Linked DNA regions of Oryzias latipes. The protein of the gene in region 2 interacts with the protein of the main gene of each other region in a pairwise test. Links are inferred from orthologs where the notes say so. Each region holds a gene or a part of one and is shown on either strand. Other genes may lie near its edges. The genes, in order: edrf1, exoc5, ras-related protein Rab-4B, rab4a and beta-taxilin.

Region 1 (6,460 bases), on a different chromosome or scaffold from region 2:
TGTATCACATTTCTTTGTTTTCATTTTAGTTTTGGAATTGCCTATGACTTCATTGATTGTATTGGGAATGGTGTTGATGTGGTATCAGACTCTGAGGTTTGTGGAGAGTTTTCCTTTTTTTTACCTCTCTGACATTTGAAGACATGGCAGACTTTAATGATGGGCTCTATCATCCTCAGAACATCAAGAAACTCTTGAAGATTCCTTACAGCAAGTCCCACGTTAGCATGGCTGTTCACCGGGTTGGAAGGACGTTGCTTGTAGACGAGCTGGACATTCAGGAGCTTTTTAGAAGATCCTCTCAGGTAGATTTGAGGGTGGATCCCTTTTCTACATTCTTCCATTTATATTTTATTTTTGACAGTAATGTGTTTTTTTTTAATGCAATGTTTAGACAGGAGACTGGACATGGCTTAAAGATTTTTACCAGCGTCTAAATGATCAGAAATGGCAGCGGAAGAAAAAGAGTAAAGAGCACTGGTATCAGAAAGCCATCCTGTCAAAGTTTCTCTACTACAGGTAAGTTTTTGTTTAGGATAGTGTTAGATATAATTTGGTGCAATGTTCTACTTAAGGGCGTGTTTCTTGTTACATAATCTGTCCAAAAATCACATGTTTTTCTTTGTTTCTGCAGCATAAATGGTGATGGGGCTGCAGAGCCTGTGTTAGACAACATGAATGAGGGGGATGATGACAAAAATGCTGAAGAGTGCAGCTCCTCGTGGCCTGCAACCTTTACCAGCCCATCAGATGCTCAAGAATCAGAAATTCCTGAACAGGTAGCTTTACTAGTGAGCTCAATAAGTATGGTCGGGTCAAAAAGCTGTTTTCAGACAGTGAGAATTTTTGTGGCGGGCAAGAATTTTTTTTTTTTTTTTTTTTAGTTTGTTTTCAGTTCAATTACATAATGCCCAAAAATATAATGAACACACTGATGCCTTTTGATACTCAGGAAGGTGTTTCTGCGGACAGTAAATTTGCTCTGGGCCAGGTGACATCAGTATTAAAAGAGCAAAACCTCCCTGCTCTCTTCAATGAAGGCGAGAACAGCCAGGTAACAAAGTTCTATTCAAATGTCTGGAATTTCACCACAAACAAGAGCTGGATATTGTTTTTATTTTCAAAGATTATTCAATGTGTTTATAATTTCGAAATAAAAAGGAAAGTTTAAGAAATATTTAACCGTTATTTGCATTCATTTAGCTTTGATCGACTCAGGATATTAAATGACTACTCCGGCCACAAGGTGGCAGTATTCCTTATCATTATGACTAGGTGCATATAAAATACTATGAAGAGTATAATAATAGAACAACACAGCGTCACCTAAGAGTGAAGAGATATAAGAAGCACCACTGAGGGTTGCAAAGGATATGAGGTGAAAACACATTTGTGAGGTTTTTTGTTTATTTAAGCTTTGAATTTTATAAAGATCAGCACTATCTGATATACTTATGTTTAAACACTTTTCATACTGGATTTGATGTATTGTTCGCGTATTTTTATCAAATGAATTGATTGGAAAAAAGTACAAGACTGTGTTTTATGGAAAAATGGGGGGAAGATTGTTGAAAAATTAAACAAAGATTGTGATATTGATTACTGTTAAATTCTTTCTGTACAAGTTTTGACGACTTGCATTCTTTGCAGGGTTTAAGGAATGACTTTGTGCGAAACATCATGTGGACCTTTGAGGACATCCACATGCTGGTTGGATCCAACATGCCCATATTTGGAGGTGGTCGATACCCCGCTGTCAGTCTGAAGCTAAGGTTTCAATCATCATCCAGTTAAAAAAAGTCTATAATTTTAAGGCAGATTGATTATATACTTATTCTAATTTTATCTGTTTATAACTTCTTTTTTTTTCTTTTAACTAACCATTAGCGTCTGTTTTTCAGGGACAGCAATAAACCAATCAACATTTTGACAGGTATTGACTACTGGCTGGACAACCTGATGTGCAATGTCCCAGAACTGGTTATGTGTTTTCATGTCAACGGCATTGTTCAGGTAAATTTCTAATATTGTATTATATTAATTAATTATATTATTCACTCAAAACTACCAAATCACCAACAATTGCAAATATTGTTATATTTCCAATTCACACAGATGTCTTATGTCTTTGCAGAGACATCATTTTGAATATTCTGAGATTATATTTGTTGAAATTGTAACCAGGAGAAAACATGTCGATTTTTAATCTTTCTATTTGAAAGGACAGAATTTTGTAGTATCAGTGCCACCTACTAGTGCCTTATGGCTGCAAAAATATTAAAATACAGCTCATAAAACTGGTCTTATCAATTGTCCCACACCTGGAAGTGTGAAACATGCCCTCCAAATTTGACCCATCCCCTGGGGATGGCAGTCACAGCCTCACTTGGGAACTATCTAACTTATTTAATGCTGAATGTCAATCGGGGAGACATTTGGTCACGTCTATAATAAATGGTCACTCTATCACAAGGCAGCTAAGCTGGTTTAGTAATAAATTAAAAGCTGATCAAGCAAAGAAATCTGCTTCTAGATCATTTATCTTGTATGTCTCAGATAGTCCAGTAATATTATGCTTTAAAGTGAATTGTATAGGGTTCCCTCATTCATCACAGGAGTTACGTTCTAAAAATAACTCGAGATAGGTGCAATCCGTTGGGTAGGATGTATGTTTAAGGCTGTAAATCTCCTTACTACACACTTTCCTCACTTTTCTCAGACAGGAACACTTTCACACTTATCTCTCTTTTTAAACTCTCAAAGTTCAAAGCTTTATAGGAAAATACGTAGAATGAAAATAATTTTTTGCTTGCGATATGTAGATTTGGGAAACTGAACGTATTCTAAACAGGCGACAGGCCACAAAAGACGTTGACTGACATGGTCTACAGCCAATTAGGGCGAAGAACACAGTGCACTGTTTTAAAAAAAAGCATACAAACAGTTGAACTGCGGCATAGCGAGGCAAGACGTCACGTTTTTTTTCTTTTACAAATCTTTACTGTTGACCTGTTATGGGGATTTTGTTTTGTAATTTGAAATCATACTTTATGATTTTTTAAATTCTTGTTATTTTCTCCCAGAAATACGAAATGATTAAAACAGAGGACATTCCGCATCTGGAAAATTCCACTTTTTCCACAAGAGTTGTGAAAGACATCGCCCAGAATATTCTCTCCTTCCTGAAGTCCAACTGCACCAAAGAGGGGCACACTTACTGGCTTTTCAAAGGTTGGAAACAAAAAAAAAAACATTTTCACGTGATTGGTGCTTGTTGTTCTGTGTTGTTTTTACTACCTGATGATGTCTTTGTTTCTCTGCTCAACCAACAGCGAGTGGAAGTGACATCGTGAAGCTTTATGATCTGACCACTCTGTGTGAGGAAGCCGAGGAGGAGAAGTACCAGAATCCCTTCACTCTTCCTGTAGCCGTGCTGCTCTACAAGTGAGTGTTTTCTTCTCCTGACAGGACCGTCTGAGTTTCCAAAAAAAAAAAAAAACTCAATGGAGTTGATAAATAAACCTTTGGGTTGGACCTAATGAATGTTTTAGAATATTTTTCCTCAGCGTTCTGTGTTTTGTCTGAGATGATGTTACATTTTTGGTCGTGTGGCGCAGGGTGGCCAGCAACCTGATGCTGAAGACGAGGCAAAACAGAAAGCACTATGGCCCAGTCAGAACTCTGCTTCTAAACTGCATCAAACTTCTTGATCAGGAGAGACATCCTCAGGTAACTGAAAGTACACCTTTACACTTTAAGTTTAAAATGAAAAAAACAACAACTTTAAAGCTTTTTTTTTTTTGGTGCCCAGATCATCGCGTCAGCTTACTACATGCTGTCAGAGCTGTTCCAGCTCAACGAGCCTTCTGAAGACGATGGAGGGGAGTCTTTGAGGGCTGGTGGCTCGGAGGACAGTTACAGCGATGAAGACAGGGTGGAGGAGGAGGAGGAAGAGGATCTCACAGAGGACAGTGATGAGAACAGCTCCTTCAGTAACGGCTCCAAGCTTCAGGATGATAGCAAAGCGGTGGCCGTGATCCGCTCTGTTGGGGAACTGTCAGTCCCTGAGAAATACAAATCCACTCACCAGATCAGAGTGAGTGACCGCTTTAATCTCGCCTTCTTCCACTGTTGCGCTCAGGAGCCATTTTCAACAGAAAATGCACTCATTTATTAAAGATAGATTATTTTTTTTATCTTCTGAATTCCTCGGAACAGCAAATAAAAGAGAGGATGGGACTAAAATGTTCAGTTCCCACCATTGACTGTATATGAGGACTGGACCCAGTAAGTGTGATGTCACCCATAGGCCGCATCTTACAAATGCCACAATGTTGGAACCAGCCGACGTCAGTAAATGGGGATTTGTCTGAGTCGATCTGAGTCATCATTTCTATGGCAACCACTCTCACCAATCAGGAGTGAGCTTGTTGGAAGTCCACAAATCTACCATTTGAAAGCTGACTCAAGAGAACCTGTCAATTGAACATTTTTAAATGTTCAACGTGAGACTGCATACTTTTATGATATCATAAAAAAATTTGGATTAGCAAGAACATGTTAATAAAAAAGTTAGTAGAGCAAGAATGGTTATTCTGACAAATAGAATGATTAAGCAATAGCTATTTATTCCTCTATAGAAGACTATAGGATTTTTGGCTTCTTGGAACCAGCAGGTTCTTCCTGTTTGGACCATGAGGGTAGAGGGGTCACTAAGTCCAGTTCTCATATACAGTCAATGGTTGCCACTTTATTGATTTTTTTCTTTTCTTTTAAATGTTGTATGCTCTTATTTTGAAATTGCCATAGCTTTGACCCCACTAGGAAAAGCCTGAGTCAGCATGACAAAAGCATTAGTTTTCTGAAAGTTTGGAGTAAAAACGGGGCATTTTTATAGCAAATGTTGCTGATAATTATGTTCCTTTTTTTATGTAGCCAAGCGGTTCTTTCCCCGTCTCTCAAGACAAGGAGGAGCGGTGCAGACACATCCTGAGCTACGTGCTGCTGGCAAGTTCTTCAAACACGTGTCTCGTCAAATAAGTCTCTTCTTCAGGATGACAGGAGACGCTTTTTGAAAGAGCTCTGCAGGGATGGAAATTCAAATAAATGTCTGTGCTGGGACTCACAGGGGTTGAAGGCGGTGGACGGCAGCATCAAAAAAGAAAGCGATCTCCCTGCTGCAGATCCAAACACACCCATTCCCCTCAAATACGAGGACGGAGCCTCTGCTGCAGAGAAAGGGATTTCCCTTCTGCTTGAACGAGGTCAGTCTACTTTCAGTGCTTCATGCCATGCCTCACTAAATCAAAGCGGACACTCTTGGTTTTGATGCATGTTTTTGCTGAAGCAGCGGGGCCTGTGCAGGCAGACCAGAAGCACCCGACGCGCTCAGGGATGATCCCCGGCTCCTGGCAGTACCACATGAAGATGCAGCTGTTCCTCAAAGCTTCCAAGGCCTACTATGTCCTGTCCGACGCGGCCACTAACCTGCTGAAGTACGGCAGAGCCCTGCGCTACATCAAGCTATCCATGCAGTGCTATGGTGAGGCCATCCTGTTTAGCATCATTATGTTAATTATTTAAAGTTTTATAAACTAAAAAACGGATTCTGTCTTTGATTTTTGGCCCAGATGCTTACTGCTCAGTGAATGGAACCCTAAGCCCACAGGTTCTGCAGTTCCACAGTCAGTGCCTGTCTCTGTGCGGCGACATCCAGCTGATGCTGGCCCAGAACGCCAACAACCGAGCGGCTTACCTGGAGGAGTACAGCTATCAGACTAAAGACGATCAGGAAATCCTGCACAGCCTGCACAGAGAGAGCAGCTGCCAGGGTCAGTCACTACACAGTGATGTGTTGACATGGAGGCCCTTTTCCACTGCTGGTGTGCTTTATCTTTTTTTTCAGTTACGGTTAAAGCAAACCTCTTAAAAGCTTTGCTACAAAAGTACTGTGAGATATGATCCTTGAAAGTTTTTTTTTTTTTTTAAATTCCTTTTGGATTCAAATTTGTATCTTTTCCATCCTCTAGCCTTTAACATGGTGACTGACCTGGCCATGGACCCGGAGTACCAGCTGTTTGTGAGCAGCAAATGCTACGAGGCAGCGCACGAGCTGCTCATCTCTGAGGCCCTGAGAGATGATAACTCTGATCAGCTGCCCCAGCTCCTCAAAAGGCTGGGAAACATCCGCAACGAGATGGGAGTCTTCTACATGAATCAAGCTGCAGCCTTGCAAACGGACAAAGAGGGTACTTTTTTTGTTTCTTTTAATTCATAATACCTTTTTACTAGACGGAAAACCGCATAACAATCACAAAGATCTGGAATATAATCATTATTTCCCCTCTCTTAGTGAAAAAGCCGGTGTCAACAACTGAGCAGGAGTTGTGGAAGAAGAGTTTTTCCTTCTTCGAGAAAGGAATCGGTGACTTTGAGGCCATCAGGGACAAAACCAACACGG
Region 2 (6,094 bases):
AAAGGTTGAAAAGTTCAAGGGGACCAAATACTTTTGCAAAGGCACTGTATGTATTTCTATCTATCCCTGTATCCATCTTTTTGTTTAGCTCTTTTTGGTGACCTACAACGTCTTCCATTCTGCTTCAATGCACTTTCTAAACTGCTCCTTGGAGAATGATAAAGTTGGTTTAATTGAATTATCTAACAGTTCTAGCAGATATTAATGAAACGCATGTAAATATGCATTTTAAGAAAACACAAGAGAAATCTCTGAAACTTCTCTGATCACTAGACCAAATCGTGGGGAAAGTGAATCGTTGCATCCTTGTTGCATTTGTTTAAATAGAAAGTGTCAAACGCGTGTCATACTAAACTAAAATTGTTTAATTACATTAAACCAGGTTTAGCATAGGCCAACTGAAAGATTTTTTTTTATTGCATTGTGTGAATGTGTGTGTGTAAATGGAACTGGCTGTAAAATGCTTGGGGCCTTCTAAGAATGTTTTAAAGTGCTATATAAGTGTATGCCATTTACCGCTTTTACCATTTATTAGTACATTTTAAAAATTATTTTTTTAAACATTTATTTATTTATTTGTTGTTGTTTTGTAAGATCATACAGTGGACCAGAACCAAACCATGATCCAAAAATCAAGATTTGAACTAAATCATTGGGAAAGGGAGTTATTGCACCCGTGGAGATGATCTTGTCAGATATTGGACCCGTTTGACCTCACCTCAGGTATGACTTTGAAACGAAAAATCAAAAACGGAGAAACTTCTTTAGGAACGACTCCGGCGTGTCCTTTCTCCAATCCTAACATGAGTGAACGTGTGAGGGCTGCTCAAACTGAAGCATTAGAGAGGACAGTCCTATCCAGCTCTCCACTTTGACAGTATTGTTAATCCCCTGCACCTGCTCAAACACTCACCATGCAAAGAAAAAAAAAAACAACCCACAATAAACCCCCCATATAGAATTCCCCCTTTTTCATGTGCCTGTGTAGGGACTCCCTGGGGCCAGGCTATGCCGCTGCCATCGTCTCCACACTGGTTATCGTGTCTGGCCTGGCTCAGCTCCCCCCAGCCCCTCCCCGCACCCCCCCACATTAATCAGCACAAAAACAAATAGTTTTCAAATGTTTGGAAAAGACCCACTGTTTGCATCAGGGCCTAACAAAATAATTTTTACAAGCTATCCAGCTGCGATTAGGCTGGAGAGAATTGAATTTATGTGGCATTGATAATATTAATATTAGCCTAATTAATTATGTTGTTTGAACTCGCACAGCACAGTGTGTACCCTCTACACAACACTAGCCAGCCGGGAATGGAACGGAGCTCTCAGCCGTCTCTATCTCCCTGGTTCTCCCCAGTTCATGACTACAGCACACAATTCATCAACTCGTAGATATCTAATCCCCTCTGGCTCTGCTCACTTCCTGAAGTCTAAGAAATAACTTTACTCTGGTGGCAAGAATTCCTATGAATACTTGATGACTTCCAGAAAAAAGAAAGGCTGTTTCATCTCACTTTGAAAGTGACATCTGCAGAGAAAACATCTGCACAGAAAACTCTTCACTCACAGCAAAAATAAGAAAAAGACTCAGAGATGGACAATAATAAAATGTAACTTTTTTTATTGAGTAACTAATTAAAGTAAACAGCAGTACAGTGAAAGCAGCTTTGTGTTGGGAATCATTTCAGGCATCGGGGGCATTATCTTCCCTTTCTTGTGCAAAGGATAATTAATGAGAACCTTCAGTAAGCCCTGTGTGAAGAAATCCCTTCTAGTTTGTTTCTTTAATCACCAGAGGTCAGCATTTCGGCGTCCCCTGACCCAGAAACACTGCAGATCAAATCAACAACGTCTTTGGACTTTGCGCACCACTGGATGAGCAAGTGTTGATCTGTGCAATTACAGTGACAGACAATCACTGACCCATCACACCAATCATCCCGGCCAAAAGAGGACCACCCAAACCTCCAGAGAGGCTCTTAGACCGCTCTGCCGCTCAGGTCATACTTCTCTGTGATGGCCTCTTAACCTCCTCTTTGTGGTCAAGGGTCAAAAGGTGCAGAGGTGGTCATGTGTTTCTCTTAGACAGATATGTGTCTAACTTAGCTTAGACTGTCTGTCCTTTCTCCAGCGAGTCATCACAAAGAGTAACTGTTTCTAAAATGTAGTGCAACTGCAGAGCTGAGTCCGACTTCGCAGCCTGATTGTTGATAGTCTCCCTTTGAAGCAGCTCCACGGCCAATTCTTCTGCACCAGTGCAGCTGCAAAACTTAATTATTTATTTTTTGGCACAAGCAAAAAAATTTTTGAAGTAAGCAGAGAAATATATATATATTGTCCATTTGCCTATATCAAAGGCCTTATACATTTAGATTAGTATTAAAAAAAAAAAAGGAAGTTAATGAGGGATTTAAACGTTACCCGATCAGGTGGAAAACTCAATGAAATGCACATTTCCCACATTCAAGATCTTAATTTTTTGCCAGCATAGTCTTTCTGCTGGCCCCACACTGACGCATCCAAAGGGCAATGGGGCATCTTAAAGGCGTATCCCTCATCAAATCACAGATCCGTCTGTGGAGTAGTGAGCTCTCCGGTCATTAACTGAAGTGTCGGCCCAGTCTGGCAGAACGGTAGTCCACTCGGAGCTGGACAAAAGCATGCAGGAGGTTCCGGTCCAGATTGGTGAGATGCTCACCTGAGCAAACTTGCTTCAGGTTGTCAGGAGCAACCACCAGGAGATTACAGAGGGCGTGGAGTGTGTCAAAGAGCTGAAGCACCAGAGGGACCTTGTGAACAGAAAGAAATAAAACGGCTTATCACTTCAGAAAGAGGCAGGGGAACAATGCTCTTATGACAAGAAACCTTGATAGGTAATTCATCCATTTATTATTAAGTATGATGTTCTCAATATGAATTATGGTTTCAACAAAAATTCATTGCTTCATTTAAAAAAGAAATTAACAATCAAAATGAAAACAATCAGGCATTCAGATCAATCTTACTTTTTTTTAATCAAGGAAGCAGCTGTGAAATCATCATACCAAAATGATGGTGAAAGTAATAATTAGGTATAATTATTAGTATAACAGAAAGAGTTTATGCAGTCAGTCACAAAAGACACATTGACCTTTTGTCACAGATTACCCTGAAATTCTTGGCGCATCTGCGGTATTCAGCCACGTCACAGATGGCCAGCATGCCGCCCATTGAGCTGTAGCTGAACTGCTGTAGATGCTCGTGAATGAGTCGATGAAACCGAACCCCCAACTCCGTCAGCACCGTGTCCACGTTTTTCCCATCCATGGACTTGCGCACGTGCTCCACCTGCCGACTGACGTATGCGCAGACCTTTGAGCAGGCCTGTCAGGGAAACGAGAAGAACTAGTTGGGAAAAAGTCTGGAAGTGATTTTTATGAATTGCATCCAATGCGTTGTTTGTTCTGCGTGCGAGCTAAGCATCTCTTACTGTGGTGTACTGGATCATGACATTGTTTTCATCCTCGGGCCGGAAATCTGTTTTTTTCTGCTCTGTTGCCAGGATGTGCTTCATTTGCCCCACCATACAGTTTAGTGTTCTGTGCATAACAAAAACATATATTATTGGTTTCTGTTAAAAAACAAAATAAAAAACAAAAAAGTTGATCAATGGCTTAAAAAATAAATAAATAAAAAGAATCACCTGTCAATTCCAGTGTCCAGTTTTACTTCCATCTGTTCGATCACTTCTTTCTTCTTCTGCAAGCACTCTGCCAGCTTTGGAGATGAACTGAAGACAGGTTTAGAAAATTTAATTCAAAGAACCCCCCCAAAAATAAATAAATAAATAAATAAGGTAATTTGAAATCTGAGTATGCATAACAAACAAAGATGATAATTCTTAACCACAACTGACCTTATAAGAGGCATCAGCTGGTCATTAAACTGCTTGTCAAACAAGTGGAAGATGGAGTTTGCCTGTTGAACAACATCCAGGAAGTACAGGTTGGCATTCTTGGCATCGGATGAGGGAATCGCTGAAAATTTAGGAAAAATGCAGCAAACGCAAACTTAAGCTATATTGATCATTAAATGTTAATGCTTATCGGCTAGTGAAAAAGAGATTCTAGCTCTAAAATGTTTCTAGCTCTTCATTATTGTGGGAGATCCTCAGGTTATGCTTTATTTAATGTCCCAACTTCCTGAATCTACTGCTTTGAAGCTCCTAATAGTGAGAAGAATGAGCCCTCAGAAAGCAGTTTAAGAGTACAATTTGGTTCATCAGAAGTACCTGAAAGGCCAATCTCCAGAGCGTAGTCGATGTGGTCCACACACAGATGTTCAACCAGCAGTAGGAAGATGGAGTAGGCATTTTTAGGCAGATCAGATGGATCTGAAAGCTGTAATAAAACAAAACAAAAAATCACCAAAGTCTGCGTTTATACATGTTCCTTCACGTTACAGAAGGAGAAGAGGCTCACCCTGTGACACCTCTCAAACGCGTGCCGAGTCTCCTGCAGCAGATTAACAACCAGCTCGGGGGACAGGAAGGTCTCTCCATGGGTGTCAAGGCTGGGGCCCAGTGGAAGGTTGGTGCGCTGTCTGATGCGCTCCTTGAGCTCCTGAATACTAAAGTAAAAACAAAAAAACGTTTAGCATTTTGATCTTTTTGTATGAAACCCTAACGTTTATTTGAGACCAAAAATGGCTCTTTAAATGATACCACATTTTCCTTGTTCTTGTTTTTTTTTTAAATTATATTATTAATTATATTATTCTTAGTCTTTTCTCCTGTCAGTTGTTATGGTAACGAACAAATTTCCCACGTATGGGATCAATAAAGTATTTCTGATTCTGAAATGCTTCATGACGTTTATGCTAAATCGTACCTGCCAGAGCCTATTGCACGTTTCTGGTGATTCTTTGAGTCATAGTATCGTTGCAGAATCATGGCACCTCGATTACGAAGGTATTCCCTTTCCATGTCAATGTAACTTTCCAAATAAGAGGAAAAGATGCTTTTTATCAGCTTGGAAAGGAACGTATGCTTGTCTGAACCAAGGTTGAACTCTGTTAGCTTGGTAGCCAATGCTGTGGTCCTGAAAGGTCAGAAAAGAAACAGATAAGAACAAAAAGTGTTAGAGTTATAGAGCATACAGGAAGTAAATTAGAAAAAGACAAGCAAAACCACCTGGTGTAAAGGTCATAGAGGTTTTTGAGGTACTGTTCTGCATCAGACTGTCGAGTTCCATCCAGTTTCTCTCTAACGTGCGCCTGTAAAATAAACAGCCAGCCAAAAATCAACAAATGTTTAAGTAATGGCACATCCAAACTCAATCACTGGAAAACATACCTGTAGTTTGTTTTCAAAGATATTCTGGATGAGTTTAGCCATGACTGTCTCTGGACTGCTGAAGACCTCGGCCACCTGCTTGTTGACCCTCTGGCAAAGCGCTGCGGTGTCTTCAAACACATCGTTCCTCGTGTAGGCACCCTGAGACAGGAACAACAACAAAAAATGGGTCAATTAAAGCAGCCAAGTCAAAGGCAGACTTTTTTCTTGCCAAACTTGAAGTACTCACTTCCTGACACTGCTTGATGTAGACGTCCACGCAGTGTGCATAACCCTATTTAGACAAACACAGGCGTTACCACCTTGATAGTCCAAGAAAATGACTATAACATTCAAAGTTGATGTTTTCAGACAGGCTATGACTCCAACACTCAGTCAACGTGTCTTCAGATGTCTTTTCCAGGTCACCTTGAAATGTAATAGAACTGCTGCAACCTCCCGCATACGACCAATCTCACCCCTGCGCTGGGCTGCAGTAAACTCCTGGATTAACTGCCTCTCCAGGTCGTGGTATTTGCCTGGGCAGGAATGAAAACAGAACCTTAAAATGTCGCAAACGCGTGTTACATCGTAGTAAAAATGGAGGACGATCGACCCGGTCAGAAACTTACTTGCAATTTTTGCTTTGACATCTGCAAATCTGTTACAGATAAAGTGCGCAATTAGAAACAATAGATATAAAAAAAACAGAAGGAAAGTTTCTTTGGGGGCATCTTAGTCAATAATACCATCTAATGCTTAATGTTTCTGTGGGGCTTACAC
Region 3 (5,194 bases), on a different chromosome or scaffold from region 2:
CCTTTTGAGGCAAGTGGCTCAAAGGAGGAGAAACCCTCTACAATCAAAATCTTTATTACTTAGACTTTTAAAATAAAATGTACAATTCTTTTGATACAGTATATAAACAAAACATACATGACATTTTGAAAATAAAAGTGCACTTTCAGAGGAGGAAAACCCCAAATACCTGCGAATGGACTCTACATACTTTGGACAGTTCTATATTATAGTTACCCTTCAGTGTGCACACACGCACACTTTTTTCTTCTCCCCTTCTCTAAAGGCCTGTTTAGAAAACAAACCTGAAGGGCAACGATGACTTACAAGGATAGAGTCATCACTTCCTGTGCATCCCTTCCAATCGGCAACGTTTGGGGAAAAGCCAACCTTAATAGAGGGGGATCTACAAAAACAAAGCACAACCTGCTGTCGTTTGTAGGATCATCCCTTGTGCTGCATGTGTTTGTAGAAAGTGATTCAAAAGTAGGTTGAGGAAAAAGAAAATCCAGCAGCGGCAGGCCAAAAAAAAAAAGAGATTTTATATATAAATAAGTACGTTTGGGACTTTGGGATTTTAAATGGAATAAAAATATTATTTTCGTGCTTCTTAAGCTACACAGTGAACTGAGTAAACAAAATGTGTTGAAAAGGTGGAATCATTAGGAATTCTAACTATAAATTCACAATTTGTAAAACTCTTTATATATTCACATATACACTTTGAATGCAAACCAAATAAAAATACAGATTCCAGCCTTTAGAGACAACATCCAGCTGAGGCTCACTTTACATTCAATAGTTAGCAGGTTCAATGTTCAAGAAAACTTTAAAAGGATAAAGGATGTGGTAGATTCTATCATTTTCAATTTCTTTAAGTATACATGTTTCGAAATACAAACGTTTCCACAATCACATTTAATTTTGGGCTCATCATCAGTCATGTCAGGAGACGCTAGATAAGAGTGCTTCAAACAGTGACAGTAGGAATTTACAGACAGAAATGTGCAAGTGCAAAAAGCAAAGTTTCTAAAACCTGAATAAAAAAAGAAATAAAAATCAAAAGGTTGACCAACAGCAGCCCATATGGACCACCGTTGACTCGTCCTTGTCTGGTAAGCAACTGATGAGGACATCACGTCCTTATGTCCCCATCACGCTCACACTGAAGGGATGCTTCATCCTAGATGCAGGGGCAAGATGGCCCCCTCAGGTAAGGAGGCTTAGCGAGGGCCAGGGGCTTGTAGGAGTCTTTGTGACCTCACTCATCCAGGTGATGTAAGGTGAGTGAGACTATAGGGTGAATGGTCACACACACCAAAACACCTGGAGCTGAACTGAAGGACTGAGCAAACAAAAACCAAAAGTTGATGCGAGGCCTGTTTTTGTCTAAGTACTTCAGACAAGAACGCTCACTGACCTGTAGGGGGCGTCCTGTCCGCGTGGGGCTGCAGGCTCAGGTTAAGGCGTGGCCTGACCCCTAGCAGTTACACTGCTGCTTGTTCTGTGTTGTTGTGCCTCTCGGCTGTCGCAGCTGCCTTAGAGACGCGTCTCCATACTGAATCCCTGAACCCATCCTCTCTGGGTCCAGCTCTCCTGCAGAGACCATTGCAGAGAATGGGAAAAACTGTTACCAAAATAAAATACAATAAAACAGATTTTAAAAGAGGGGGCGGGGTAACTCAACACCAACCCACAACTCAAAAGGCGAATTTCTAATGAACTACTGCTGATCTGCAGGAAAACAACTCCGGATTTTGATTTTGGTTAAAAATGAGATAATCGTAATAAAAAGATCAGTGGAAAAGAAAGTTAAAATATGTTAAAAGAGGATTGGAGTGGGACTTCAAGGTATTAAATCTTTTGAATGTAGAACATATTTAAAACTACAATATGGTCCCCAAAACAACATAAATTGTGCAAATACACACACAAACAAAGAGACATGCCTGTTTACCAAAGACTAAAATATACCTGAATCTATCTTGTTGAGGATGGTGCGGGCACACTTCAGGAAACCCTCCTCCACATTTTCGCCTGTCAGTGCACTTGTTTCTAGAAACATCAGTTCTGTGTGGACAGAAAACAACCACATGATGGTCAAAGGGGGACACGACGGATCCAGGAAGTGTAAGACATGTTCAGCGAGGACACACACAATGTTTCTAGACAAATCCGTTACCATTTTCCTGAGCGAAGCGTGAAGCTTCCAGGAAGGTCACCTCTCTGTCTGCATCCAAGTCTTTCTTGTTGCCACACAGAATGATGACGATGTTGGGGCTAGCGAGCGTCCGTGCATCAGTCAGCCAGTTGGACAGGGCGTTATACGTCTCTCGGCTGTAAGACACAGAGATGGACATTTTTGTGAAACAGCTCAGTATGAAGACCAAACCTTGATATCCATGGTAACATGAGGCCAAATGTGTGGGACAGAAGGGTGGAGGCCTGGGCTCTTGATGCTTTACAGCTGCTTTCAATAGCAAGAAAATCTGACGCAATTCCTCCTCCGCACACCGATGGCACAACTCCAGCTCAGTGGGATTGTGGTTCTCATGTTCCCCTCGCCCCACTCCATTGTTCTACATCTTGCCCCCGCTGTTCCTTCCACAGCCTCATCCGTCCACTTCCTGTGCTTTCGCTTTACTTGGCAGTTTTGGTTGATGGACTTGTGCCGTCCAACGCAGAACTGTCCTGCATTGTTCTATAGCTGCTGTCAATCTGTGCTCTGCCCCCGCCCTTTTGCAAAAGCGAAGGCCTTTTTACGATTGCAAACAGCATTACCGGTACATGTCTGTCGAGCTGCATCGGCGTTTCGCTCATAACAGTTTGAGAAATACAGGCCTGCTTCTGGTTTTTCCATCTGACTGCATGAATGCTCACTTCCTGAAATGCAAAGTTCAAGGAGCTAACATAAACATACGATGTCGGTAAGCAGAGACTTAAAATCCCACTTTGATCACATTTTGATCTATTTTCAAAGTGCTCCCTTTGTTCCTTTAAATATCATTATGCCCTTTTTTAGCCAAGAAAAAAAAAAAAAAAAAAAAACACCAGTGTCATTTTCTAGGAAATAGTTTCTGCAGAGCAACAGTAAGTAGTTCATCAGAAATTTGCCTCTGACAAGCCCCTTTACCCTCCCCTGTTGCTGAGAGCTCTCTGTTTACATGCTCTCCCGCTAGCTTACAGCCCCCCACACCCTCAAGCTAACATTACCGGTGCTACAGAACTAGCGAGCAGCGTTGGAGCTATTCAGCCGCACAGTTTTGGGTCAGATGGCTGCTCAGACGAGGAGAACAGAAACATACACGGATCTATTTGTCTACAAGTAGATGCATCAGAATGGAGCAGAGCAGGGAGGCTGTGGCGCGCCCAGCAAATTTTCTTAGTAACAAATTTGATATTTTTTTCAAATAGGATTATATTTTCTCCACCTGATTCACAACAATTTGAATAAAGAAATACTCAGAAATGTAAATTTAATATAAATTTCCTCTATATATGTAAAAGAAAAGACAATTGTCATCAGAGTGGGTCTTAGCAGCTGTTCAATACGCAGCATTTTGTGGTTTTGATGGTGTTTTGAAAACATTTTATCCCTGTCTACTGAAGCAGAAAGTTGGAGAATTGTTTTTTGGTGACATGCGGCTTCACTTGACTGCATAGGATTTGTCTAAAGGTGGTGGGTGAGTGGGAGCAGGGACGGCTGTACCTTGTAATGTCATAGACAAGGAGGGCTCCAGCTGCTCCTCTGTAGTAGCTGCGTGTCACTGAGCTGTGAAGAGAAAGCAGGTCCTCAGCTCATAAGAGACAGCATTAGCACATCACGACAGGAAATACAACTGAGGAGGCCTAGGGGAAGTTAAAAAAATAATAAAAAAAACATCTGCAAGATTGAACTACCGAAATCGCTCCTGTCCAGCAGTATCCCAAATCTGCAGTTTGACCGTTTTCCCACCAACGTTGATTACTCTGGAACCAAACTCTACACCGATGGTGTGGTTGGAGTCCTGTTTGACTGCATGGAGGAACAAACACAACAATTATGAGGAATGCACCGACCTGCCAGAAACAACACCTTCCAAGAACTACGCAATTATCTCTTTTGACCTACAACATGGGGTAATGATGTGCTTGTTTAGAAGTTGAAGCTGTCATCTTTAACCCACAAGATTCTTATGAGCCAAGATGAGCTCAACACTGTCAGTTTAATCATCTGGAAAAATACATAAATAAAACAGACTTACACTTGTTCTCAATGAACTGGTGGAGAAGACAGGATTTTCCCGTCCCAGCACTGCCAATCACAAGAAACTTGAACAGGAAATCTGAAAGTGGAGGAGAGGACGGGGAAAAGTCAGGAGATCTGGGACAAGTCCATACTTTACCAAAAAATCTAGTCTTTAAATTGACTCTTAACCTTATAAAAAAAAAACATTACACCCAACAAAATCACAGAACCTCGCTTAGCAATGTCGTTCTGCTTACAAGTTTTCTGCTTCACAATTCCAAATGTCTAAATGATCAAAACTTTAAATATAATGGCTAACTATTTACTAAATGTGGCTTTGAAAGACTATTTAACAGACTGAACAGCTGCTTTGTTTTCCTTATTAGAAACAGTGGACCTTTGCTCATTCGGCAACAACCCGGCTCTAAAATGACTCAGACCAAAGACATTTGAAGCAGTCCACAGCGCAGACTGTGGTGTTACTGTGTTTACCAGGGAACAGTGTCCTACAGCACACATAAAAGACACGATCAAGGCCATAAAAGAGGAAAGGAAAATAATCAAACTTTTTTGAAACTTTCTTGGTTGCTAGAAATCTATTTTTACCTTTAAAATATAAAATTTCTTTTAATGGGGGAAAAAAAAGGGAGTCTAGCATAAAAAAGGACCACATGGAACTGAAAAGACCTGCTCTAGTTTAGGGAGAACTGAGACTCCAAATAACACATTTCCTCCTACAATCCAAAGACTGCGGTTTAGTTTAACCTTAAACCAAGTGTGCAGAGAAGCCAGCCGGCAAATGATTAGTGACTTGTGTAGATGTTCCCCGTTATCATGGTAACAGCTGGAGAGTTTTCAGCTGCTCACTAAGTCAACTAATGTAGCAGCTAAAAAAAAGACAACAAAAAAAGATTAGATTGCTATTCAGTTTGTTGTGAGGTTTAAATAGAGCTTTTTGGTGCTCTTAGAATCTCCTTTACACTCACA
Region 4 (7,231 bases), on a different chromosome or scaffold from region 2:
ACGACAACCTCACGTGACACAAACTATGCTGCTCTCAGATACACCTCTGGAGGCATTTCGCATTGAAAAATGTCTGTTTCCTTTGAAATGTCTGCACCTGCAACAGTTTAGTGTACGAGTTGTAAAGTGATATAATCTCCAAAGTAAAATTCTTTGTTTTTGACCAGATTTGACAAAACAAAACGCACAACTGATAAATCTCATGATACAACTCTTAGTCTCTCTACAGCTGACAGCATTCTGTCCCCTCATGGACTCTATTTTTTTTCTTTTTTTCTGATAAAGCAATGCGTTACTGCCAAATTCATGAAAATACAAAGTTCTAGCACAGCTTTCCTGTGAGGCACAGCTCCACATTTTAATGAGCAGAGCTGAAAACCTATTTAATTGACACCTTAATATCTCTTTATATAATGAAACACTCTGATAATTTGCTTGAAAAGCATGCATCGGTCACAGCAGCACTGTACAACATTCTGCAGGGAGAAGAGGAAGTGGATGAGGACTATAAACAAATTAGGGTTAGCTTAGCTGATGAAATGTGCTTCCATAGCTGCACAGTGTGGAGTGAGAAGCTTCACTTGGGTAAAGAAGAGCAGGTGCGCGATAAACAAGGAGTGCTATTAGTTGGGAAAAAAATGGAATTTTAGTAATTTGGGTGATTTATTTCATGCTTAAAAATAGGGAGATTATCTTTTATTTAATGAACTTTGCACCAAACCATAGCAAGTGCTAGTAGTGTCAAAAGTATGTGTTTGAAAACTGTCAACTTTTTATTTTAATTGAACTACCTTGAATTGAACTACCTTTACTTTAAATATGATTGACAGGAACCGTCTTTATGAATAGATAGAGGAAAGTCTAACAGGCTTGGAGAGCAGGTGACAAGCAGGGAGCTACGTCTGAGGAGAAACCTTCTCGCCACAGAGCCAGAGAGATTTTGGTCCAGCTTTAAATTATGTTTCTGTTTTTGAAGATGAGTGTGGTCTTCTGGGTTCCTTAGCTGGGGGCGGGGTCTTCACAGCTCTCCGCACATGCAAAAATGACAACAGATGCTCTGAAGGGTCCGTGCAAAAGTTGGAGGAAGGTGGAGTAACCGGCACGGCAAGCCCCCCGCATCTGCATTCGTGGAGGTTCTATGTGGCTGCTCTTCTTCTGGTCTTCACAAACTTGTTTCCAAAAACAAAACAAAATCAAACGTGGAGAAAAAGACACACAAACATACTATAGTAAATAGCATTGCAGGAAGAATTACACTGAGGTGCATCAACACTTTTTGCAAAGTTGATATTCAACATAACCTACAACTATTGTTTCAGAAAAACAAACTGCAGACTAACTGTAACTGGTTGCCTAAATCCAAGTTCATGTCAATAAATGGTCCGATCCATTTTTTTTCTCTGAATACAGCTCTGTACTGATCCAGTAGATAACAGCTGTCAATGAAAACATAGTGCAGATTTTAATACTGTTTTAGGATTTGATATACATAGTAAGATAAATGTCATCAGTCCTGGTTTTCTTGCATAAATTTCATCCTAATATTTATCTATTTTCTCTGACTGTGTAATTCTGTGCTATACTGAGCACAACTGTCATAACCACAGGAGGCGATCGGCTCCCTTTCCGTACCTGAAAATTAACTCCAAAAAAAATGTCAGAGGTCCGAGACACTCTGGGATCCCACAGCAACACGTTTACCTTCAAAGGGCTATGTAACAGGACGTCCACTAGCAGCCACATTCCTGGGTGCCCTGCGGCTGAGCACGGCGAGGAGAACGAAGCTGGCGTAACGCAGCGTCCCCATATTGGATTCCTGACCCCATCCTCTCTGGATCTAGCTCTCCTAAGAGTAGAGAAATGGTGCTGATTAATAGAGATAAAGAGAAAACAACCTACAGAGGTTTCATCCCCACTACAGACTTTTGGACCAGCTGGTCCAACACTCCAGACTAGCTCACTGAAGCCCTGAGCTCCACCTGAGCTTGGACTATCCCATTAGGATAAGAAGGGATTTGGAAATTGTGTTTAACAAATGTGGGCAAAGATTAGAACTCCTCACCTGACTCTATTTTATTCAGGATTTTCCGGGCACACTGGACAAAGGCTTCTTCAACATTCTCTCCTGTGAGAGCGCTGGTCTCCAGGAACATTAACTCTGCCACAAACACAGAGTAAGGATGAGAGCAGCCGCTATGAAAACCGCTGATGATTATTCCACACTAATGGCCAGTCAGTGCTAAACAGTAAACCATTGAGTAATTACGTATAATGAAAGTTAACTGTATAGTTTTTAGCTAAGGATTATAAACTTAAGATCGAACCATTTTCCTGAGCGAAGCGTGACGCCTCCAGAAACGTGACCTCTCTGTCAGCATCTAGATCCTTTTTGTTCCCACACAGGATAATTACAATGTTTTGACTGGCCAGCATCCTAGCATCACTTAACCACGTGGTTAAGGCGTTGTAGGTTTCTCGACTGAAGCCACAAAAACAACAAAACAAATGGTTAAGCAGTCAAAGTATACATAATAAAAGAATAACGCACCTCGTCTTACCTGGTGATATCATAGACCAGCAAAGCTCCTGCTGCTCCTCTGTAGTAGCTCCTGGTGACGGACCTGACAAACATATACTGGTTAAAGGGAACATTGTTGACACTTAAGCAAATGCATACCAAATCCATTTAGTAATTATTGCCAATTTAAGACAGAAATGGAAAAAAAAAAGTTGTAGCTGTGCACCGCCGACATCTCTAAAAACGCAACATCCACAATGTAGAAGGAATTTTTAAAGATGTTTAGCTACCTGAAACGTTCTTGACCTGCAGTGTCCCAAATCTGAAGTTTGACCATTTTGTTCACCACACTAATAATCTTGGAGCCAAACTCCACTCCAATTGTGTGGTTGGACTCATCTTTGACTGGAAAATCATAAATATCACATGTAAGTCATATATTTTCAACACCTTAAAATGACCTACTGTTTACAAAAATAAAATGCCCTTTTTTAATCTGATAAAGATTGTGACTGCTTTGCTAAAATCTGTTTAAAAAATAAGAGTCAAACTAAAAATATTCATCAAGATTTGCTTAAAGTCCCACTCCGATCATCTTTTGAACTATTGTAAAAGCGTTTTCAGTAGTTTTTAAATAATGTTTATGCTGTTTTAGCCAAAATTGAAAAAAGCAAACAAACTCTTGTTGTGTTGGACATAGTATCTGCAGAGCGGCAGTAGGTTATTAAAAAATGAATCTTTGAGTTGTGGACGGGACTGGGACCTTTCCCATCTTCCTTTTGTTTACACTCCTCTAGCTTACAGCCCCTCACACCCCCTCAACATTAGTGGTGCAACAAAAATGGCGAGCAATATTAGAGCTATTCAGCTGTACAGTTTTAAGCTAGATGTTAGCTCACACGAGGAAAATGAAGACGTTCATGGATCTATTTGTTTACAAGTGGATGCATCGGATTGAAGCGGAGCAGGGAGCTTGTAGCTCGCCATAGTAGCTTCTATGTCACATCTACAAGCAACTGGTCCTGAATCACAGTGATTTGAATAAAGAAATACTCAGAGATGCAATTTTAGGCTTAATTTTTACATAAATGTCCATTATAATGAGAACAAAATGTCACAAAAATATGTTAAAAACACACAAATAACGACTGTCTTTGAGTGGGACCTTAAAGATATTTAAATAAAAGAGTCGGGCAATTACTGTGTCATTATTATAAAGCTTTTTCTAGTGATTACAACTGAAGCAAACTTACATCTCTTTTCTATGAACTGGTGCAGAAGGCAGGATTTGCCTGTTCCAGCATTTCCAATCACTAGGAATTTAAACAGAAAGTCTGCAGAGGGAACACAGTAGTAACATAGATAAAGCAAACAGGGTTTGAATATGCTGCCTTGTTATTAATAAACTCAACTATTCTTAATTTTTTTTTGATACAGTTGTTGACATGTACACATCTGATGTCTACACTATACAAATCAAGACAAATGTGTCGTAAACAGATCGAACAAAGCCTTATATATATATATTTATTCTTTACTCCCACTAAGATAATTATCATGTTTAATGTTGGTTCAATTGATTGAACAGTTGTAGCATAGTGTAATTTGAGCAATGCCTCACAAAACACAGAGATATCCTATCATCACTTGCGTTTGCAAAAGAAAAGCGGGAGTCTCTTGCTTTGTGTCCTAGTGCTTATCCCGGGAACAATAGCATCTCCTATAGTCACAGCTTCTTGCATTATAAAGCTTTACTAATACACCTGTACCCGGAAGGCAGATTTATTAACGCTGACATTTGAGTTTAAAGGCCAAAACCTTCCTACTCCTCAGTGGCTCGGTTAGCCTGCCAGCTAGCTATTTGTTTACGAAGGGACCTCATCATCCCTTTCCTGCCATCTGTGTGTGAGATTCTAACGGGTATAAAGCAAGACAGCCTCCTTACCGTAAGACTCCGACATCCTCGGTGTGTCAGCTAAGCTGCAAGGCAGAGAAAGGCGAAACTGTTATTTGTTTAGCTTGCTAAGTGATGGAAATAGTCCTGTTGGTGATTTCCTTGGATTCTATGATTTCCTCCTCCAACTTCCTGTACGGTGTGTGTGGGTTTTTTTTCTTCAAAATAAAAGCATTCTGAAATGACACTTATGCCACATAGTCCTCAAACTACCGCGTGGGGGTGATGTTTGGATATGTTCTTATGGTTTCAATTAATGAAAAATAAATTCTCGCCGTTCTAAGTAAATTTTAAAAACAGCCCATTTCGCTGAGAGTTTTATCTATATGTAAATTAATTGGTTTGCATGTTGTGTACAAATTCTCTCTTTTTAACATATTTTTTGGAGGATCTAGGAGGTGGCGCTCTGAATTTACACAAACGTCAACCGAGTCCGTGGTTGTCCAAAGAAGAAGAAACGTAGTTTCCCCCGCTAATCATTAGCCTAGCTGTGGGCATTATTTATCTTAAAATGGCTACATTATTCCCTATTATTAGACCACCAAGTGATAGCAGTCCCGCTACTCCTGGGGCGCACTCCATGAAGGTGATTTTTTTCTACTTTGATAAATATCCATTAGCTGTTGTTTACGGGGAAACATGACGATGTTTTGCTAACAGATAGCTAGCTAGCCAACGGACGTTTCCATTCACTAGGACAACTGTCAGCCACTTTTAGCAAAATCATTTGTTTTCAAATGTGCTCAAATTACTTCCTCTTGAAGTAATTTGCTCCTATTATTCGTGTATTTCTCTATTAGTTTGCAACGTTGAAAAAATATATAAATAAAAAAAAACTAGATTGTGTAGCCATTTAAATATAAAGTGTTGCTAATTTTTTCCCTGTGTAATCCTAGTCAAACTAGTTTTGCACATGTTCCCATTTTCACAATAATACGGAGCCCCTAAAGGGCCATTGATGAAAAAAAAAAAAACTTGAGGAAATTTTTTTTTTTTGAAGTAAAAAAAAATTCTTTGAGCTAAAAATTTTTTTTTTGAAGTAAATAGGAAAAAAAACTAACTGGTGCGCACCAGTTAGTTTCAGGTGCGCACCAGTTAGTATCAGGTGCGCACCAGTTAGTTTCAGGTGCGCACCAGTTAGTATCAGAAGATATCAGATAGTTGACCTGCTTGCTCATTGTGCACCAAGTAGCTACAGTTGTCTTGAGAATGGCTAAAGTTGAGGATATGGACCTTATAAACTTTCTGAAAACACGAAATATTACTGACAATGTCATAATGTCACCTGAAACTAATTGGTGCGCAGCTGAAACTAACTGGTGGGCACCTGATACTAACTGGTGCGCACCTGAAACTAACTGGTGGGCACCTGATACTAACTGGTGCGCACCTGAAACTAACTGGTGCGCACCTGAAACTAACTGGTGCGCACCTGATACTAACTGGTGCGCACCTGATACTAACTGGTGCGCACCTGAAACTAACTGGTGCGCACCTGATACTAACTGGTGCGCACCTGATACTAACTGGTGCGCACCTGATACTAACTGGTGCGCACCTGATACTAACTGGTGCGCACCTGATACTAACTGGTGCGCACCTGATACTAACTGGTGCGCACCTGAAACTAACTGGTGCGCACCTGATACTAACTGGTGTGCACCTGAAACTAACTAACTGGTGCGCACCAGTTAGTTTCAGGTGGGCACCAGTTAGTTTTTTTTTTCCTATTTACTTCAAAAAAAATTTTTTTTACTCCAAAAGAATTTTTTTTACTCCAAGAGAATTTTTTTTTACTTCAAAAAAAAAATTTTTTCCTCCATTTTTTTTTTTTCATCAATGGCCCTTTAGGGGCTCCGTACAATAAGCTTTTCGATTCTATATATTTTGGTGTTCATCTGTTTGAAAAAAAATGTTGGTGAATCTTTTTTCCACTTCTGTAGGAAGATGTAATTGATGAGGTATCTAATGATGGGAGCCAGCCACCGAAAAGGAGGAGAATGGGTTCAGGGGACAGCTCTCGGAGCTGTGACACCTTCAGCCAAGAGCTTGGGTAGGCTACTTGTTTTTGCATTACAATTTGCCATTATTCTTAAGTAATTGCGTCAGATACCAACTTATAAATCTAATGTGTTGTTCCTGCCCCCACCTCCTCATCTAGGGTGACTTATTTCCCAGCAGAAAACCTAATAGAGTATAAATGGCCTCCTGATGATACAGGAGAATATTACATGCTGCAAGAACAAATCAGCGAGTATTTGGGTGTCACGTCATTCAAACGCAAATATCCTGGTAAGAATTGAACAATAATTCACAAAATGATCAGGAAAGGAAATGTTTAAGTGCGGTTGATTTAGCAACTGCCCAAATTATGTTTTGACCAGGGAATTTTTTTTAACATTCTTGTGCAGATATGGAGAGGAGAGACCTGTCTCACAAAGAAAAGCTCTACCTACGTGAGCAAAATGTTATCACTGAGACGCAGTGCACCCTGGGTACGAGCCAACCCTAAAACTCTTTGTTAATGCACAGACTTCATACATTTATTTATATTTCTTACATAATGTAGTGCTGTTGTATTTATATGCAGGATTGACAGCTTTGCGGAGCGATGAAGTGATCGACTTGATGATAAAGGAGTATCCAACCAAACACTCTGAGTACTCTGTGATATTGCAGGAAAAGGAGCGTCAGAGAATAGCTAAGGAGTACTCTGTAAGAACACCAGACTAGAACAACCTTTAGTTTTTATTAGAAAT
Region 5 (6,936 bases), about 12 Mb from region 2:
TTAAAAGGCGGGAAAATGCAGGTAAAGTCTGGTTCGGTCTGCTCTGGTCTGTAGAGCTCTTGGGACTGAAGTGGACCACCTAACAGCGGCTCATATGGTGGTGCTGAGGTCCAAAACAATATCTGACCAGGATGTGAACCATGGAGATGTTTGGTCATAATTCACAGCTCTGTCAATGACAAAAAACTGGACTAGGAGATCGTTAAACGGAAAAACCTCCAGACAACTGTTAAGCACAGTGGTGGAAGTCTGGTTATCTGGGCCTGTTCTGGACCCGAAGCTCCCTAAAGCTTCTGTGAGGTCAACCATTAACGTTTGAACTTCAAGTTCAGCCCATTGAACGGAAATTCCTTCAGAAAACAGAATCTTTACACGGCGGGTGTTTTGGCGGCGCTGTGGTGGACCGGCGAACTGACCGGGTGAACCCGATAGCAGCTGGACAGACCAGCAACTAAACAGGAAGTAGCCAGTGTAGAAAATGAAGGTATGGATGGAAGTTTGCTCTTTGACCTGGTTCTGACCGTTAGAACCTTTTAGAACCAAATGGTGAGAATTAAAGCAGAGGATGTAGTCTTCCTTTTAGCAAATACTATTCCACCTACACACACACTGCACTAACAGCATTTCTTTAGTCAAATAGGCTGAATCCAACACGACGAAGAAAACACCTAGATTTTTCAGCATTTTCTTCTCCAGTTTCTGGTCCTTGCGGCCGTCTGCCTCTTTGGCGGCGGTGACCTCCTCTGCATCCTCTGGCTCAGCTGGAATCTGGGCTGCCTGGTAGGTGCTAATGATGTCCTCCAGCTGTTGGCCGAGGTCCTCTGTCAGGTCAATGTGGTGATCCTGGGCCGGCGTGGCATTGGGACCCACGGGGGCGGAGCAGCTCTCCTGACAAGCCTCCATTACGACAAGCTGGTACCGAAACAAGGACGACAGCTGGCTCTGCGGAGGAGCGCAAGGCCGCCATTAGAACTGTCCTTAGCAACAGCTGGAGCACAGCGAACACCGGTCTTCTGTTTTTAACGGGTAAACAAACGGTGATTCTCATTTTAAGCAGCCGTGAGGCGGCAGAAACAAAAACGTGGGTCAGAATTTCACTACGTGGTCAGAATCTACAAAAATCTAGTATCTGAAATTTCCCCAAAGTCTGCAAAAAACCAGTGTGCATCGATGATTGCCAACCATAGACCATAATGCATTGCGTTTGAACAATTTTTGTACAAAAAAAGGATTTAAAAACGCTTTTATAAACCATCCAAGTTTTCATCATCATTGATTCGTAAAATGTCTTTGCCAAATATTTGCATTGATTAGGTTTTTACTTAGTGAAATCGGTGACGTCATATTTGCGTTTAGAAAAAGAAGTAAGGAGCGTGAAAACCGGGTGTCCACTTAAGCTAATGGGGGCAAACATGGAGGGCCCACCTATGTTCTGCGTCCTGATTGGCTGTTGTCCATCAATCTCTTCGACAAATGCATTTGTTCTACCGGATCTACATAAATCTTTACCCGCATTCTCATTTTATAAATCTTGGATGTTGTTTTTTATCAAGGTTGGAACTTTTAGGGGTTTAGACAAAAAAGAGAAAAGTGTGAAGATGTTCCTGCCTGTCTGAGACACGGGGATAACGTGAAGTGAGGAGTTCTACAGCCTTAAACGTCTGTCATCCTACAGGGGGTTATTTTGACACCGTACACTAAGGAGCAGCGCACACAATAATACTACAATGAATGTAAGAACTCTTGAAGAGCAGCAGGGAAGTCTGTTTTGTTCATTGTTTTCAGTGCAGCGGATGGCGGAGCTCCAACAGAGAGGGAGAAGCTTCTCCAGAACCGTTCCCGGTAGTTTCCAGCCTACCTTGGTGGACTTGAAGGAGAAGTGGAGAAAAAGACTGAAGATGTTTCTCTGGACAAAAACAAACAGAGATCAAGGATTATTCAGAGGTTTCCAAACAGAATCTTGAAGTGGACGATCAATCTAAGGATCAGGCACTGGAGAAGACCGATCAGCTGCGTTTGTGCGCTTCATGATGCGTTTGGTGAGAACAGCAGACAGACTGAGACCACAGTCAAAAGATAACTGGGTTTTATTCAGAAACTGGTTTAGGGTGAAAGCTGCTGATGTTATGGTGATGTAACGGCGTCTTTCTCGTTTCACTAGAAAGCTTCCTCATTCTGTTTCCGTATTTATTACCAACCAGGACGAGATCCTCTTAACAGCAATGGAGGCAGCTTTCAGAGGTTTTGACCATAAAAAGGTAAGAAAACTAACTTCTGCTCAGCTGGTAGCTTATCTATTATGTCTACAGTTTTTTATGTTCGTTGCAGAGGATGGTGGTGTATTTATTAGCTGTTTAACTTTTGCTTTAGTTTAAAGTTTCATAAAGTGTGTGTGGGGGGGTTGATTGGCAGGTGGGTATCCTTGTGTCCCGCTCAGTTCGTCCATCTTTGGGGTAGGTCTCCATGTTTAGGTCTGTTTCTAAAAGTGGTCTTTTAACGAGGATGATGCAGTTTTTAGCCAAAATCCAAAAATCCCCTCGAAGCTGTTGGTGGTACAATTGGCACAGAGTAATCCTACCCCCTTCTCCCATCATCCATCTGTTTACAAACACTCCCTCTAGCTTACAGCCCCTCACAACCCCCAACCTAACGTCAGAGCAGCATCAGATCCATCCATCCGTCCGGTTCTGATCCAGATTCCAGCTCAGACCAGGAAAACAGAGACGTTCATAGATCTGTTGGTCTGCAGGTGGATGATCAGAAAGGGGAGGAGCTAGGAGGTCGTGGCCCACCGGGCGTATTTTCTACATCACAGACACGATAACAGCTTTTTTTCAGCTGCTCCTGATCTGCATTGATTTGGATAAAGAAATGCGGCTTTAAGATCTTTTTTCATTTAATTTTTTATAAACGTCCTCCACTATGACATGAATGCTACTGAACGTGTTAAAAACCCCAGAAAGAGCGCCTTGATGGGAGTTTTCACAGCACAGCCGTGCGTTCTGCCGTCGCCGGCTGTGATTTTGTCAGCTTGTGTCAGTCTTGTACAGATCCTGTTTGTGAGCATAAAATTAGTGCAGCCTTGGCGCTGCCTGTGCTTTCACAAGCGCAGCACATGGCACCTGTTCCACAGCCACTAGCTATTTTAGGAACTTCTTAATATGGGAGCATTATTTATTTATTTACTCTCTAATCTCCTCGTAGTGAAGCCAGAATCGGCGGTTGTGACACCAACAGCTCTCTGGTCTCTATCTAGCTCAAATAACAGAGAGGTCCAGCAGCAGCAGCTCAGTTCTGTGAAGGATCTGCTGTAAATTCAGCATTTTGACTGAGGAACGCGTTCAAACAGAGACTTGACAAAGACTCGACGGAGCAGGGATGGATTTCTCACTGCGGTTAACAGCCTCTCAAACAGCTGCTAGGTTGCGTGCAACACTTGTTAGTATGTTAATGAGCGGATTATTTCCAGCAGAGGCTTTTTCGTGGTTATTTTTCATGGTTATTTCAGTGCAAAGGCCTGCTGAGAAGCAGGACAGTGAGAAGACACGGTCTTACCAGGACCAAAGGCCGGAGGGGAATAGGCAGCGTGTCGAGGGGCTCGGACGACCTGCCACCACAGACCCAACAGCTGTGATAAGACCTCCTCAAAATAAACCAGGGAGGGGGCTCAGTCTGACAGGGAGAGGCAGGACGCTCTGCTGCAGGGTCAGAGCTCCCCCACGGCTCAGAAGGTTTTCCTCTAAACTGGTTCATGCAAAGCCTGGTCTGCTCTGCGCCGCCGCTGCCACAGCGTTGCTGCTCCTCGCCGTATAAACGCAGGAGCTGATGCTGACAAATAAACCCAGAATGCAGTTTCACAAGGTGAGCGCTATTCTTAGAAGCGTTCATTTATTCTTCCTGCTGCTGTGATGACGGCAGAGATAAATTCACACGTGAAGTCGTCCCTGGAAGGACTTCGCCCCACTTTTCACGCCTTCTTTTTTTAACCTTCAATTAAATGGAGGTGATTTCCAAATAAAATCATGTCATATCGCTGAATATATATATATGATTTAGAATCATCACGCATAGATGGAAACATTTCAGATCAGGATGTGTTCAGCTAAAGGTCAGTCCTCTGAAAACGGATCCTTTCCATGTCCTCAACGTTTGGTTTGAGTTTCTGCATCAATGCTCTGTGGTTTGGAGACCACCGTCAGCGTGTGGAGCTGCTGAGCTGGAGCAGTCCAGGTTCCTCCATAAGTTTTTACATTGTCTGTCTTCAGGTCGTCTGCGTTGTCTGTCTTCAGGTCGTCTGCGTTGTTTGTCTTCAGGTCGTCTGCGTTGTCTGTCTTCAGGTCGTCTGCGTTGTCTGTCTTCTGGTCGTCTGCGTTGTCTGTCTTCAGGTCGTCTGCGTTGTCTGTCTTCAGGTCGTCTGCGTTGTCTGTCTTCAGGTCGTCTGCGTTGTCTGTCTTCAGGTCGTCTGCGTTGTCTGTCTTCAGGTCGTCTGCGTTGTCTGTCTTCAGGTCGTCTGCGTTGTCTGTCTTCAGGTCGTCTGCGTTGTCTGTCTTCTGGTCGTCTGCGTTGTCTGTCTTCAGGTCGTCTGCGTTGTCTGTCTTCAGGTCGTCTGCGTTGTCTGTCTTCAGGTCGTCTGCGTTGTCTGTCTTCAGGTCGTCTGCGTTGTCTGTCTTCAGGTCGTCTGCGTTGTCTGTCTTCAGGTCGTCTGCGTTGTCTGTCTTCAGGTCGTCTGCGTTGTCTGTCTTCAGGTCGTCTGCGTTGTCTGTCTTCAGGTCGTCTGCGTTGTCTGTCTTCAGGTCGTCTGCGTTGTCTGTCTTCAGGTCGTCTGCGTTGTCTGTCTTCTGGTCGTCTGCGTTGTCTGTCTTCAGGTCGTCTGCGTTGTCTGTCTTCAGGTCGTCTGCGTTGTCTGTCTTCAGGTCGTCTGCGTTGTCTGTCTTCAGGTCGTCTGCGTTGTCTGTCTTCAGGTCGTCTGCGTTGTCTGTCTTCAGGTCGTCTGCGTTGTCTGTCTTCAGGTCGTCTGCGTTGTCTGTCTTCAGGTCGTCTGCGTTGTCTGTCTTCAGGTCGTCTGCGTTGTCTGTCTTCAGGTCGTCTGCGTTGTCTGTCTTCAGGTCGTCTGCGTTGTCTGTCTTCAGGTCGTCTGCGTTGTCTGTCTTCAGGTCGTCTGCGTTGTCTGTCTTCAGGTCGTCTGCGTTGTCTGTCTTCAGGTCGTCTGCGTTGTCTGTCTTCAGGTCGTCTGCGTTGTCTGTCTTCTGGTCGTCTGCGTTGTCTGTCTTCAGGTCGTCTGCGTTGTCTGTCTTCAGGTCGTCTGCGTTGTCTGTCTTCAGGTCGTCTGCGTTGTCTGTCTTCAGGTCGTCTGCGTTGTCTGTCTTCAGGTCGTCTGCGTTGTCTGTCTTCTGGTCGTCTGCGTTGTCTGTCTTCAGGTCGTCTGCGTTGTCTGTCTTCAGGTCGTCTGCGTTGTCTGTCTTCAGGTCGCCTGCGTTGTCTGTCTTCAGGTCGTTCATCTTCTTTGCAGATTTTCTATCAGGTTCCGGTCAGATGAGTTTTCTGGTCAGTGACGCTCAGGAACTTCGTGTTGGTCACCGACGGACGCCGCTTTTGGCACATGGTAGGGACCGAGTCCTGCTGGAAAATAAAACTACCATCACCTTGCAGCTTATCGGCACAGAGAAGCGGGAAGTTCTGTGGAATCTCTGTGGACTACGGAGACCCCGGTGGACCAACAGCAGCAGATGACATGGCACCAAACCATCAGACCTGCTAAAACGTTGACTCATATGCATCGTCCTAATCTAAATCACGTAAATGAAATATTCTTGGACGCAGCTCTCTGTGATCATCTGGGCTTCGTCCTTTCAGTGAAGAATGAACGTCTGTCAACGATCTTCAACGAGAATTTACAGCTCAGATCGAGGATCGTTAGATTAAGGTGCAACACCAAGACTTTGCAGCATTCAAGTTCCTCACAATATCATAAAGTAAAAAAACAAAACAAAAAACGAACGGATGCGCATAGTTAGTCTTTTTTTTCACCAGTTACTAACAGCCATTTATCCAAATACCAAATATAATTTGGACCCTTTGGAAGCCCATTTTGAACGCACTTTGCATGCATTCACCAATATTAATAGAGTTTACTCGATGATCTTCATTCTTCCTGAACCTGTCCTGAACTGGTGCAAACAAACCACGTGACTTTAAAACTCAATTACGATGACGTTTAGTGATGATGTAATTGTGACGGTAAGCAAGCAAAGCTGCAATCTCTTTGTAGACAAGTCAAAAAGCAAAGGAAAACTCAGTTTGCTCACGTGACGCCATTTCCAGAGTTGCACATCCGTTACCAACTGGTGCGCACCCATTTTTTTAATTCACTGGCCCTTTAGGGGCTCCGTACATTTTGCATATTTAATGTTATAAAAAGGGTTCAGAGAATGTAGGGCCACTGGTTGGCCCTCGCACGTTTTCACAAATCTGTCCCTCTCTGCAAACAATTTGGAGCCCCCCCCCCCCATCTTGGACACTAACTTTTAGGTTTTGAACTCATCAAGACAAATTTAAAAGAAAATGTAAAAACTTTTGGTATTTCATTTTAATGATTCTGTGTTAAACTCAAGATTAACTTTTTAAAATCATGTTTTACAGAATTATTTTTTGGTATGAACCGGTATATTTATTCCTTATTAAAACCTTTGTCCTGTATGAGGCCAGAACAGTCTCATAATTCAGAAATGTGTGCATTTGTGTTCAGCATTAAGGACAGTCTTTGTCCAAATGTTCATGCACTTTAGTTGGAAACACCAATGAAAAATGAAAAATAATCTATTTTTTCATATTTTAGTAAAAAATGTAAGTATTTACTCTTAAAACTAGGTGTTTTGCTGTAGTATTACTTTTTTTTTTTTTTTTTTTTAATAAAACCATTTTCTACTCACCGCAGCA

What was found.
Region 1: the proteins of exoc5 (region 2) and edrf1 interact in binary tests that used the Homo sapiens proteins (3 or more experiments, as listed by UniProt). The two-hybrid records come from large-scale screens. The link is inferred for Oryzias latipes from reciprocal best matches to the Homo sapiens genes EXOC5 and EDRF1.
Region 3: the proteins of exoc5 (region 2) and ras-related protein Rab-4B interact in binary tests that used the Homo sapiens proteins (3 or more experiments, as listed by UniProt). The two-hybrid records come from large-scale screens. The link is inferred for Oryzias latipes from reciprocal best matches to the Homo sapiens genes EXOC5 and RAB4B.
Region 4: the proteins of exoc5 (region 2) and rab4a interact in binary tests that used the Homo sapiens proteins (3 or more experiments, as listed by UniProt). The two-hybrid records come from large-scale screens. The link is inferred for Oryzias latipes from reciprocal best matches to the Homo sapiens genes EXOC5 and RAB4A.
Region 5: the proteins of exoc5 (region 2) and beta-taxilin interact in binary tests that used the Homo sapiens proteins (3 or more experiments, as listed by UniProt). The two-hybrid records come from large-scale screens. The link is inferred for Oryzias latipes from reciprocal best matches to the Homo sapiens genes EXOC5 and TXLNB.

The regions. Positions count from the first base shown.
Region 1 is NC_019873.2:19,103,379-19,109,838, forward strand, and holds part of edrf1 (erythroid differentiation-related factor 1), read left to right. Parts: intron 1-29; coding exon 30-96; intron 97-179; coding exon 180-305; intron 306-394; coding exon 395-519; intron 520-634; coding exon 635-779; intron 780-952; coding exon 953-1,054; intron 1,055-1,650; coding exon 1,651-1,772; intron 1,773-1,901; coding exon 1,902-2,013; intron 2,014-3,083; coding exon 3,084-3,231; intron 3,232-3,332; coding exon 3,333-3,444; intron 3,445-3,617; coding exon 3,618-3,729; intron 3,730-3,811; coding exon 3,812-4,096; intron 4,097-4,935; coding exon 4,936-5,007; intron 5,008-5,128; coding exon 5,129-5,264; intron 5,265-5,347; coding exon 5,348-5,542; intron 5,543-5,630; coding exon 5,631-5,882; intron 5,883-6,029; coding exon 6,030-6,248; intron 6,249-6,352; coding exon 6,353-6,460. UniProt on the Homo sapiens protein: Transcription factor involved in erythroid differentiation. Involved in transcriptional activation of the globin gene.
Region 2 is NC_019880.2:12,937,464-12,943,557, forward strand, and holds the end of exoc5 (exocyst complex component 5), read right to left. Parts: intron 5,973-6,094; coding exon 5,944-5,972; intron 5,851-5,943; coding exon 5,741-5,850; intron 5,607-5,740; coding exon 5,562-5,606; intron 5,474-5,561; coding exon 5,333-5,473; intron 5,254-5,332; coding exon 5,171-5,253; intron 5,079-5,170; coding exon 4,869-5,078; intron 4,609-4,868; coding exon 4,461-4,608; intron 4,380-4,460; coding exon 4,271-4,379; intron 4,017-4,270; coding exon 3,896-4,016; intron 3,770-3,895; coding exon 3,683-3,769; intron 3,579-3,682; coding exon 3,470-3,578; intron 3,364-3,469; coding exon 3,148-3,363; intron 2,790-3,147; coding exon 2,601-2,789; 3' UTR 1,605-2,600; downstream 1-1,604. UniProt on the Homo sapiens protein: Component of the exocyst complex involved in the docking of exocytic vesicles with fusion sites on the plasma membrane.
Region 3 is NC_019871.2:14,614,827-14,620,020, reverse strand, and holds the end of ras-related protein Rab-4B, read right to left. Parts: intron 4,305-5,194; coding exon 4,224-4,304; intron 3,995-4,223; coding exon 3,880-3,994; intron 3,752-3,879; coding exon 3,689-3,751; intron 2,317-3,688; coding exon 2,162-2,316; intron 2,050-2,161; coding exon 1,954-2,049; intron 1,576-1,953; coding exon 1,460-1,575; 3' UTR 1,400-1,459; intron 1,325-1,399; 3' UTR 39-1,324; downstream 1-38. UniProt on the Homo sapiens protein: The small GTPases Rab are key regulators of intracellular membrane trafficking, from the formation of transport vesicles to their fusion with membranes.
Region 4 is NC_019861.2:24,496,409-24,503,639, reverse strand, and holds rab4a (ras-related protein Rab-4A), read right to left. Parts: upstream 4,614-7,231; 5' UTR 4,480-4,613; coding exon 4,464-4,479; intron 3,853-4,463; coding exon 3,772-3,852; intron 2,924-3,771; coding exon 2,809-2,923; intron 2,622-2,808; coding exon 2,559-2,621; intron 2,480-2,558; coding exon 2,325-2,479; intron 2,159-2,324; coding exon 2,063-2,158; intron 1,847-2,062; coding exon 1,731-1,846; 3' UTR 1,702-1,730; intron 1,170-1,701; 3' UTR 1,157-1,169; downstream 1-1,156. Other genes in the region: phf10 (PHD finger protein 10), read left to right, coding at 4,984-5,058, 6,416-6,525, 6,634-6,764, 6,884-6,967, 7,063-7,187. UniProt on the Homo sapiens protein: The small GTPases Rab are key regulators of intracellular membrane trafficking, from the formation of transport vesicles to their fusion with membranes.
Region 5 is NC_019880.2:1,117,701-1,124,636, reverse strand, and holds the start of beta-taxilin, read right to left. Parts: upstream 3,769-6,936; 5' UTR 3,754-3,768; coding exon 3,556-3,753; intron 1,907-3,555; coding exon 1,859-1,906; intron 943-1,858; coding exon 669-942; intron 1-668. UniProt on the Homo sapiens protein: Promotes motor nerve regeneration. May be involved in intracellular vesicle traffic.